3 linked regions of the Danio rerio genome follow. The protein of the gene in region 3 purifies or fractionates together with the protein of the main gene of each other region. This does not show direct contact. Links are inferred from orthologs where the notes say so. Each region holds a gene or a part of one and is shown on either strand. Other genes may lie near its edges. The genes, in order: kpna4, kpna3 and kif22.

What was found.
Region 1: the proteins of kif22 (region 3) and kpna4 purify together in Homo sapiens (affinity purification with mass spectrometry; 3 studies listed by BioGRID and IntAct, counting the BioPlex papers as one, with this or other methods). This does not show direct contact. The link is inferred for Danio rerio from reciprocal best matches to the Homo sapiens genes KIF22 and KPNA4.
Region 2: the proteins of kif22 (region 3) and kpna3 purify together in Homo sapiens (affinity purification with mass spectrometry; 3 studies listed by BioGRID and IntAct, counting the BioPlex papers as one, with this or other methods). This does not show direct contact. The link is inferred for Danio rerio from reciprocal best matches to the Homo sapiens genes KIF22 and KPNA3.

The regions. Positions count from the first base shown.
Region 1 is NC_133190.1:1,641,148-1,644,801, forward strand, and holds part of kpna4 (importin subunit alpha-3), read right to left. Parts: intron 2,939-3,654; coding exon 2,834-2,938; intron 1,155-2,833; coding exon 1,083-1,154; intron 352-1,082; coding exon 189-351; intron 1-188. UniProt on the Homo sapiens protein: Functions in nuclear protein import as an adapter protein for nuclear receptor KPNB1. Binds specifically and directly to substrates containing either a simple or bipartite NLS motif.
Region 2 is NC_133176.1:49,989,747-49,993,400, forward strand, and holds part of kpna3 (importin subunit alpha-4), read right to left. Parts: intron 1,126-3,654; coding exon 1,036-1,125; intron 947-1,035; coding exon 917-946; intron 809-916; coding exon 756-808; intron 1-755. UniProt on the Homo sapiens protein: Functions in nuclear protein import as an adapter protein for nuclear receptor KPNB1. Binds specifically and directly to substrates containing either a simple or bipartite NLS motif.
Region 3 is NC_133187.1:5,588,468-5,592,782, reverse strand, and holds the start of kif22 (kinesin-like protein KIF22), read right to left. Parts: upstream 2,915-4,315; 5' UTR 1,379-2,914; intron 171-1,378; 5' UTR 1-170. UniProt on the Homo sapiens protein: Kinesin family member that is involved in spindle formation and the movements of chromosomes during mitosis and meiosis. Binds to microtubules and to DNA. Plays a role in congression of laterally attached chromosomes in NDC80-depleted cells.

The sequences.
Region 1 (3,654 bases), on a different chromosome or scaffold from region 3:
TCACACAGATTTTGGTCCAGATTTGTAGGGGTTGGAGTGACTTTAAAGTGAGAAATTAAATAAATGGTTAAAAGTACTCAAACAACACGTGCTATCATCTCCCGAAACATACACACTAGGATTTAGCGTACAAGTAGATACTCGAACACTGATTGCTACTCCACACACAAACACGAGCGTCTGCTCACCTCCACACTCCTCGATGAGGTTGGCCACAGTCTCCGCTTCATCGTCGGCCATCTTGAGAATGTTACTGAGGCCGTCCAGAACCACCTGCACTACCTGAGCATCCTTCACAGTCAGCAGGTTACAGAACGGAGGAATCACCTGCTGCTGGATCAGGTACGCCACCTACAGGATAAGATCACACCGTGTTTAACACTTCAGCTTGTTGGAAATCCTTGAAAATGCCCAAATTGGAACGGAACAAGTTTGAAAAGTGCTTTGATTTTGGATAAAGTGCTTGGAAATGTAATAAAATATGCACACACATATTATTCATCCATTCATTTTCCTTTGACTTGAGTTCCTTTGTTCATCAAGGGTCACCACAGCAGAATGAACCGCCAACTATTCTGACAAATGTTTTACACAGCGAATGCCCTTCGAGCTGCAACCCAGTACTGGGAAACACCCATACCCTACAGCCAATTTAGATCATTCAATTCCCCTATACCACATGTGTTTATGGGGGAAACCGGAGCACCCGGAGGAAACCTACGCCAACACGGGGAGAACATGCAAACTCCACACAGAAATGCACACCGGCTCAGCCAGGACTTGAACCAGCGACCTTGCTTTGAGGCGACAGTACTAACCACTGACCCACCGTGCCACCCACACATATTATGTGAAGAAAAACTTATTTTGGATTCAATTAATTTTTGCCAAGCACTAATTCTAACATAGTAGAATTGAAATAAAACAATAGTAACTAAAATAATGTGATGAAGTATGGATGAATTATAAATATGCAAGTTGACATGTAGGAAGAGTTTGAAAATGCACCCAGAAAGTGCTTATATTCAACATTGGGAAAGGTGCAAGAACCCTGACGCATGCTTGTGCACCTGAACACACACCTGATCCTTTCTGCCACTGATGGTCAGGTTGCTGATGGCCCACGCTGCTTCCTTCTGAGTGCCAAAATCTCCCTGCGAGAGACAACAACATTACATGGAGAGACTCAACAACAGCAGTGCCATGTTCACGGTAACATTAAAATGTGCCAAAAATTCAGCTCAGTTAAAATTCTCATAGTTTAGTGCAGGGGTTCCCAAACGTTTCAGCCCGCGACCCCCAAAAGGACAATGCCAGTGACTCGTGACCCCCAATATTCTCTGAGGTGGTGGTTATAAATACAGAAACCTTGTATGCAATGATGCACACACACACTAATAGACCCAAGTCTATTCTTTGTTTTTTTAATGTATGTCAGTGCTGTAAATGGGCTAGAAAGTTTAACCTGGTGTTATAAAATCAATCTGCTGCATCTGACAGTATTGCTGTGTCTTTAGTATAATGTAATTACCCAAGAAGTCACAATCCAATAGAACTATTAAATATAAGCTACTATAGTAACTATATAGTTTATAGTAACTATAAACGACTATTTTTTTCTCTTCAGTAAGTTATTGATGAAATACAGTAAGTCTTAAGGTTTAATAAAAATTAATTGATTTTTGGAAATCACCAGGCGACCCCCCTTCATTGTCCCGCGACCCCTCGGGGGTTCCCGACCCCCACTTTGAGAACCTCTGGTTTAGTGAAGCAGAAACACCTCAAAGTCTTAACTTTTGCTTCTCTGGGTCCTAAAAATATTAAAGTTTTTATTTTAGGAGTAACAATTACATTCTCTACCCACGTTAAACAGACCGCTCTCCCAAAAATTACATTTCCTCACTAATAACTGATTGATTCCAAATATTTTTCTGTTAAACGCTAAAAAATAGGCTTAAGCTGGAAACCTGCAACCATCGACCTCAGTGATATTTGATTTTTCTACTTTGTGTTCAACTGAGGAAAACCTTGGACGTTTGAATCAAGTAAAGGTAGGGCTGGGCGATTTTTCCCTTTTTTTTTTTTATTCATTCGAATTTACGTTTTAAGACGATTTAATTTTGAATCAAATCGAGAAATCACGATTCTTAAAAAAAATATATATTTAATACATTATAATGGCACCAATGCGCTTTGGTTCACTCTATGAAGCAGGAAGCACACCAGAAGCACTTCTCGGCGATGCACAGCACCACGCAGCGCCATGGATTTTAGAATTCTAAACCGATTTCTATACACACACCGGCGCCACCCAGTCACGATTTACGAAGCAGTTCATATTTCATCCAGCCCACAGAGCGCCATCTGATTAGTTTCATGTTAAATATCATGTCAATGTGCGCGTTTGGTGTGTGATAGTTTAAACTGTCATGTGCGCACCGTGTCGCGGCGCTTCTGGTGTGCGACCTGCTTGACTGCCTGTTAAAGCATGAAGTCATGTAGGATTTTACTTGTTGCATTAGTCTGAGTCACGTCTGTGTGTATTGTCAATATTGTGAACGCTAAAAAAAAATAGGCTTAAGCTGGAAACCTGCAACCATCGACCTCAGTGATATTTGATTTTTCTACTTTGTAATCAAGGGTCACTAAATGATGAGCGAACTTTACACGTATACAAAAGGATCGTTCACCCAAAATGTAAAGCGCTTAGAGTGTCCAGAAAAGCGCTATATATTTAAATATAAGAAATTATTATTAATATTATTAGTTTAGTACTACTAAAGCTGAAGTGTGGGTGGTAAACTTGTTAAAGAGAGCTCGGGTCATCACTCACCTTATCCAGCAGCAGAATGATCATGGGCACCAGATTGGCATCAATGACGGCCTGAACCTGCTGCTGGTTTCCTGCTGTGATGTTGGACAGGAACCACACAGCCTCCTGCAAGAGCACAACATCCAGATTCATTACACATCAGCCTCACATGTCCTAACAACAAGACTGCAGCAACAAGCAAATATTCTGACCTCAGCAAAAGCAGCGCAACACGACAGAAACATTTAAACACCAGCCACTGCACTCCCAATGAAATGCTGAAGGCTTTTGGTCATTTATTAAGGTCTACTTAATAAATATTTAACATTATTAATAGGCTGCTGAGTGACTGATGTTATTGGTTTGAAAATCAAAGCCCGAACCGTGACCCATTGCAAATCGTCTGCAAGTCATTTTAATTTTCAAGACATGAAGTTAACTATCAGCATGGCAATAAATGCCCATAATCAGTAGCTGAGGTGATCTAAGTCATTGAAGTTTATGCTGTTGTTTTAGTGCGACGTTGCAGAATTAAATAATATATATATATATTATTAAATTCTGCAACGTCGCACTAACAACAGCATATTAACATAAATTTTGCACGCTGCTGTTTTAAAAAAAAAAAAATCCGTAATATGGAAAATATACATTTTTGCACGCATCGTATCGTGTGTTGTTACAACACAGTGTCAGAGCTGGTAAAAGCGTGACACTGCACGCAATAGAGCAACTTACACAGGGTTTCGTTTACAACACTTTAATGTAAATTTAGGTTTATTCAATACTTACAGGATTTAGCTTGTAGGGTGGTTTATAAGATATTTATGATCATGCATTTT
Region 2 (3,654 bases), on a different chromosome or scaffold from region 3:
GTGTTGTTCAGTAGTTCACACATAAATACTGCCAAGCACCCCCAGATTTTTTCCCTAACTTAACTTCCAAATCGGGCTCAAAATCATGTAGTGTGAACTAAGCCAGTGGTTCTCAAAGTGGGGGTCGGGACCCCTTGAGGGGTCGCGGAACAATGAAGGTGGGTCGCCTGGTGATTTCCAAAAATCTACTTATTATTAGGCCATAAGAATTACCATATTTTATTCATAACCAACTGAAGAGAAAAAAACAGTCGTTTATAGTTACTATAGTAGCTTATTTACTTGTTCTATTGAATTGCGACCCCTGGGGTAAATACATTATATTAAAGACAGCAAAAGCGTCAGATCCAGCAGATTGATTTTATAACACCAGGTTAAACTTTCTGGCCCATTTACAGCACTGACGTACATAAAAAAAAATTAAACGAAGAATAGACTTTGGTCTATTGGTGTGTGTGTGTTTGTGCGCCATTGCATGCAAGTTTTCTGTATTTATAACCACCTCAGAGGATATTGGGGGTCGCGAGTCACTGGCATTGTTATTTTAGGGGTCGCGTGCTGAAAAGTTTGAAAACCCCTGAACTAAGCTATAGTAAATGAACTGAAACATTTAATTTTGGGTAAACTATACCTTAAAAAAAAGCAAAGAGCAACTATTATGAAGGTATGTTGACCCGAGGCTAAGCGAGATATTTTTAGAAAGTATTAATGTGTAAAAAATGCAAATCTTTCATATCCATATCGCAAAACTTTACCTGGCTGCTTGCACTGCACTGAGCTGCACCACTGCATTGTCACTGGTGGCGTTCTGTAGAGAAAAAACAAGACAAATGGAGAATGAGTGGAAGAAGAGAAGTGAGCCTTCTGCTAAAGCCTCTCTCACCAACAATAACATCAACACGTGCTAGAATCTTACCTGTAAGATGGCATCTAGCGTTACATTTTGCTGAAAATAAAGAGCAAAAAGTTTAGAAAAATAATAATCTTTAAATGAAAGGTATGAAGTGAGCAGAAATCAGAAAAAAAACCTCTTACCCCTTTAAAGTCAGAGTCCACGTCAGAGTCCTCCAGACTCTCTTCTTGTGGAACATTTCTTTTCTTCAGGAGATGCTCGTCTCTTTTGTTCTATACAGATTGAGAAATAAAAACCATCAGCTTCTTTACAATTAATCTTATTTAAATGCATCTTCATTTGACCGAACGCACCTAAACAAATACAAACTAATCTGTGATTTTTCATCCTGAGAATACACTTGAGCAAATTAGCGAAAACTCCACTTGATGCATTAAAATGTATATTTAATAACGGTATATATAACAAAATATTGGAAAGAAATACACGATGCCTTACAAAAATTTTTTAAATCTGTGATAACCTTTGATTGTAAGTATTTTTGTTTGGATATATACCCGAGGAATGGTTAAAAAGAGATAGATATTTATCGAACATTCTGTTAGTGGCTGTTAACAAGAGCATAACCAAAAAATGGTTGTCACAGGAAAGTGCTACTCTAAGTGCATGGATGGAAATTACACTGGAAATTTATCAAATTGAGCAAATTGCCGCATTTGTAAATGAGAAAACTGAACAATTCATTTCCTTCTGGGGAAAAAAATGGACCAATTATTCAACATCCCATAGTACTGAACGTTTTTGTTTAAAATTGGAAAGATCACTTCTGTACATAGTACTGTTGCTGATGTGCATGTACAGTGCTCAGCAGAGGTGTGGACTCGAGTCATGTGACTTAGACTCGAGTCATGAATTTGATGACTTTAGACTCGACTTGACAAAATATAAAAAGACTTGCAACTCGACTTGGACTTGAACATAAATGACTCGGACTTTGACTAGGACTTGCCCCTATTGACTTGTAAAGACTTGCTGCTTCCCATGAAAAGCCCAAAGATAAAAAAAAAGTATGTTGACATGGACCGCTCTCTCTCTCTCCCCGTTTATGTGTGCGTGTGTGTGTGTGACAGCATGCGTGCGCGTGTGTGTGTGTGACAGCATGCGCGCTTTCGGCATGACATCCAATCAAAGCACGGTAGATTGTTTTGATTCGTCAGTATCCAACGTGACTACTATGAGGCGCCGGAGTGGACAAAAGTCAAGCGAACGCAGAGAGAATTTGAATTTGAGATCTAGCCAATACTCGCGTGCCAATACTCTGTCTCTCTCTCTCTCACATACAACATACACCTCTCTCTCTCTCTCTCGCTCGCTCGCTCGTGCATTCAGTCTCTTTGCGTTCACTTGACTTTTGTTTACGATGGCGTCTCATACCTTTAGTGCTTTTGCTATAACGGGATCCTCCTTTTAAACTGACCCTTCGCTAAGCCACGCCCAAAAACTGCCACCCACCAATCGCGGCTTACCAATCGTGGCTACGGACAGGGAATCTGTCAAGCTTTCGAGCGAGGGAAACAAGCCAAATCGTTGCGCAATTATTGGATTGTGCAAATCTGACACCCGCTATCCTAAAAGTTTGGACTGGGTGGTGGGATATTTCCCTTTTCAAAACCTAAAGCCCAAGAGGAGAAATGCCAGCGTGGATCAAGCTGTGTGAGGGGCGGTAAAGGAGTTAACAGCTAAGTTGATTTTGTTTTCGATATTCACATTCAGTGATAGGTGGCAATAACTCACACTCCTCTTATCCTAAACAGATCTAAACTGTGTTCTTATATAAAAAAAAGCAGGTTATGTTTACCAGCTGTCTTTTTCTTTTTTTCCACTCGATATTATGAGCACTGCTTAGTTTAAACCCTCGCCATTGTAACGCATATAAATACATACACTAATATTTGCTGGTAGGAAATATCTATTTGTTCACTTCTGTTATTTATACTTTGATTTGCATTTCAATTTTTTTTTCTTCCACTTAACTGCAAATTTGAATAAAAACTGGATAAAGAGCACACAAACATGCTGACAGTAATAGGTACTGTACACTTTTATGGGTCAATGATGCTAATATTCGGCACAAATCCATCAGTTTCTTAGGTTATTAGATTATTTTATAATTTCACCTCTCCTGCTGTGCATGAACTATGCTGTTGAATGTTCAGCGTATGAGGTTGCTAGGCTAACCTTGCTTCAATTTTGATAAAATTATTTTCTAATCAGTTGCTATTATGTTGTGAATATACCCCTGTAATGTATACTGCAGTCCTCTTTTGTCTGGCTTTCTCAGATATCTCACCTGTTTAAAGATAAATTCTGTTTATAGATAAATTCTAGTGTTTTTGAGTATTATACTTGTTGTATACTTGTATTATACTTATTATAGTAGTATTAACAATAGTGAACAGATAAAATACAAAGTGTAGTTTTACTACAGTAAAGTGTAGTGATTTGTAGTATAAAATACCCTATATTGTAAAATAATACAGCACTGGGTAATTTGTTTATATTACACTTGTGTTACCATAGCAACTATAGTATTACCACAACTGATCAATTGAAGTTCTTTACTGTAGTAGGCTACTGTTCAAAACACAGTACATGCCAATATACGTGTTCAGGGGCCCTGTGGAACAGCTTTCCTCAAAATGAAGAGGATGACATGGAAAATGTCCTCCACAATCTCATCAGCAAAGTGGAAGCCAGCAGACACTAGTTTACTTTATTTTAGCTGCCATAATAAAATGAGA
Region 3 (4,315 bases):
ATTTGTTTCAAAAACAGACATTTATTTACAATTAAAAACTGCATCATTGGATATTTTTCTTGCTGGAGATAATGTTGTCCTAAAAATAAAACAAAACAAATGTAAATAAAAAAAAAATCTTACACATACTTTAGGAACAGTATTACCAGAAATTTTGGCAGTTTTAAAGGGCCATGAAACCCCCTCGTTTCAGCAGGGTGTTTTCACACCTCTACTTTGGAAAAAGTCAGAAAAGTGGGCGTGTCCAGCTCTGTTTAGGGGGGAGTGTCGGAGGAACTAAAGTGGGATGGTGTGGGAGTGTCTATTTGGGCACGCGCGAGTTTCAGTCAAAATACACACACATGACAAAAGTGATGGTGTTTAACCTACATGGACATCTGTAGTCGAATTATTTGCCAAATTATTAAATGGTGGACTTTAATTGCAGTTTGGCTCTTTCATTCAGGGAATTCATTCATGCCCCTCGCGACAAACGCGATATTTGATTCGAGGATCTGCTCTAAGCGTGTATTTTTCATGCAATGTTTGATACCGCACGGCGAATGAGAATAAAAAACTCAGCATTTCCCGGAAACTTAGATGCACACGGCAGGTAGCGTCAGAAAACCGCGTGTGTTATTCCAGTCACAAAATGCGGTGCTATGTTTGCACTCAGTGCAATAGTTAACTTAATTCGATACGAACAAACTGAATAAACAAAGAGCACTGGTCGCTCACTTACCAAATCTGTAGAGACAGGACAATCACCAGCAACTAGAGCCGCGTCATTATGAAGAGAAGACTAACGTTACAAGCGAATCCGGATTTCAGCGTTTGCAGATGAGAACAGCTCTCAGGTAAACAATAATCCTCCTTAGACACGTAAGTTATTGTTGTCGAGTGTCGCGTACACTGTAATCCACACGTGACTCCAGCTGAACTCTCACAGAGAGAAAATGAAAACGAAACTTAATGGCAGCAAACTATAAAAGCAACACTTCACGCTTGTTTTGCCAACACAACGTGGCGTCTCTGGGGCGTAAACACGGTGACACTAATGAATATTAATGAAGTTGCACAATAGAGCGCGCTGATTGGTTTGAACCAAGCCTTACTCATGCATTAATGCATCAGACTGTAAGACGTAATAAGACACACTCTGGAACAGACGTCCAGTCTGCACGGTGGAATACACGCTATTATGTCATGACCGTGACGCAGCTTCAAAAATTCGTTTCAAACAGGAAGTACGAATTTGCTTGAAATAACGCAAAAACAACCAATTTACACTTTTTAGTGAAATATAGGTGTCCTAATAGTGTTTTTAGCAGTGTGGGACACATATACGACTGTCAACAGCTCAAAAAATGTGTTTTGGTGTTTCGTGACCCTTTAAAAGCTTGACTTCTCCAAACCGCGGTATACCTTAAGACGGTTATCCCATGCCTAGTGAAGAGACGATGCAGATCATAGAGGACAACGCACACATAATTAACTTCATTAAACATGCACACATATACATCACCTGTATATGCTATAAAATTGCAGGCTAATGATCTCTGTATATAATAACTTAAATTTGATTGTAGCTTTAACTTTTTATTTAACTTTTAATTGAATTAATGCTATAATGTGCACCTTTCAAAAAGCTGCTTTGAAACAATAATTATTGTAAATATACTTAAATTGAACATACTAAGATGTGTGAATATGCATGTATATGAAGAGCTCTATGGCAAAAGCCTCAAAGTGCCATCAAAAATTATCTTCTAAAATATATTTTTTTAGCTTCCTTTGTGTTCATTAATATCACTTTTATGCAAAATAAAATAGTTCTTTTTAAGTGAGGTTACGGAATTAACACATTAGGGTGAGAAAAATGCTCACTTTAGAAGATAGAGGTAAAGTTGGTTTTATATCAGTCTTTAAAGACAGATTCAGACTTTTTCCTTTATAATATAATTTCAGATTAGTATTCTTTTGCAAGGGAAAATATGTTATATTATGATTTTCAAAGTACAACATTGTTGACAGTTTATTAGATAGTGCTAATGTTGTTTTAAAGACATACTTGCATGCTAAATTCTGGCCGAATATTCAAACTGGTCTGGTAAACAATAAAGAAAGAGTTAATAGAACAAATGTGCAAATATTAAACCAACTTTACATTAATCTTTAGACAAAAATTACAACCGCCACCTGGAGTTTTTTTTTGCATTTGAACTCTTCATATTTTCCGAGTATGTGTGTATTTATTATGTCAGTGTTTTTATCGATCACTGTTGGTAACTTATTTATAAAATTCTCTTTGCGATGAATAAAGTAACTTATCTGTCGAACTTATCTTCATGGAAGTTACCACGCTATTGTTACTTTGAATATTCGGTCTGAAACCGCATGCAAGTATAACTTTAAAACAACATTAGCACAATTTGATTGACTGTAGAATGTTGTAGTTTGATAGTCGTTGGCTGCTATTATGATTTGCCCATGTTTAATTTGCAGAGAATAACGTTACTTTAATGAAATGACATTATTACGGAGAAAAACCCGAATGTGCGAATATAAAACCAACTTTACCCCACTCGTTAAACATATGCTACAGATATACAAATGACATACTTTAAACATAACATCGATTAATAGTAATATTAATGCTTTAAACGGAAAACGCTGCCGCTTTCTGAATGTTTATCCGCTCTGAGCGCGCGGCCGCTGCTGAATTAAAGGCCTGATGGGCTTTCCCCTTTCAAAAATCGCTAAACAACAACCGCTTTTTGCGAAACATACAACAAGTTTACCTCTTCACTTGTGCAGCGGCTAATCCAGTTCTTGAACGATATATAATTCACACTCGGGTACAATGTGAGTGTGTTTTTTAAAAATTACTCAATTCAATGCATCACTACTTCCGTATAAACTCCTTGACAATGGCGCCTCTCGGGTCGGCACGGTTATTTTCAAAATATAAAGTCTCCGCCTATTTTGCTCATTTTAACCAATCAGCACTTCTGAATTTAGAAAACGGAGTTCTTCTCCAGAGATTTTTCAGAGGAAACATACAACACGTAAGTTACTGCCATCATTCGGTGATGCTGGGGAAAAACTCGTTCTTCGTCAATCCTCCATTTCTGATATCACATTCGATTTGTTTTACTTTTTACAAATATATTTGAATAATAAACAAGCAAATTCATTCAACGTCCCCGTCAGCGACATCATGTGATGTGTGCGATGAAATCTAAACACGTCGTATTTTCAATATGGCTTCAAAAACAGCAATCAGTAAAAAGTGAATAGTCAAATCACTTTCAAACACTTACACTTTATATCCTTATATTTAATTATATTCTATATATTACTTTACATATTATTGCTCTTTTGTTGATTTTCATTGAGCCTTTACTCTTTGGTCTAAACTACAGCAGAAACACTTTGTAAACAATCTGCTTTATCTATATAAGTTTTACACTCTCACTTTCCTGATATTTACTATAGTAATGTAGAAAAATATGTTTTGTATTAAAATGTTCTGGTCCTTCAACCCTATCTTTTTATCTATTTTCAGTTTTTATTTCTTTCTGTCTGTCCATAGATTAACATTAATCAATGTCATCTATTACCTGATTAACAACAAAAGCTAACAAAGTTTTTATCTGTTTTCCAATTTTCTTTATATAATTATAATAAAATCTATACTCACTGGCCATTTCATTAGGTATTTATCAAATTTCTCATCAGCCAATCACATGGCAGCAACACATGGCAGCAACACTGCCTTGTTGATACCAGAGGTCAGAGGAGAATGGCCAGACTGGTTCCAGCTAGAAAGATAACAGTAACTCAAATAAGCACTCGTTACAGCCGAGGTGTGCAGAGGAGCATCTCTAAACACACAACACGTCCAACCTTGAGGCAGATGGGCTACAGCAGCAGAAGACCACACCAGGTGCCACTCCTGTCAGCTAAGAACAGAAAACTGAGGCTACAATTCACACAGGCTCACCAAAACTGGACAATAGAAGATTGGAAAGACGTTACCTGGTCTCGATTTCTGCTGCGACATTCAGATGGTCGGGTCAGAGTTTGGCATCAACAACATAAAGCATGGATCCATCCTGCCTTGTATCAGTGATTCAGGCTGGTGATGGTGTAATGGTGTGGGGAATATTTTCTTGGCACACTTTGGGCCCATTAGTATAAATTGAGCATCGTGTCAACACCACAGCCTGCCTGAGAATTGTTGCTGACCATATTCATCCCTTTTGTGACCACAGTGTACCCATCTTCTGATGGCTACTCAAGCAGAATAACGCAACATGTCATAAAGCGCAAA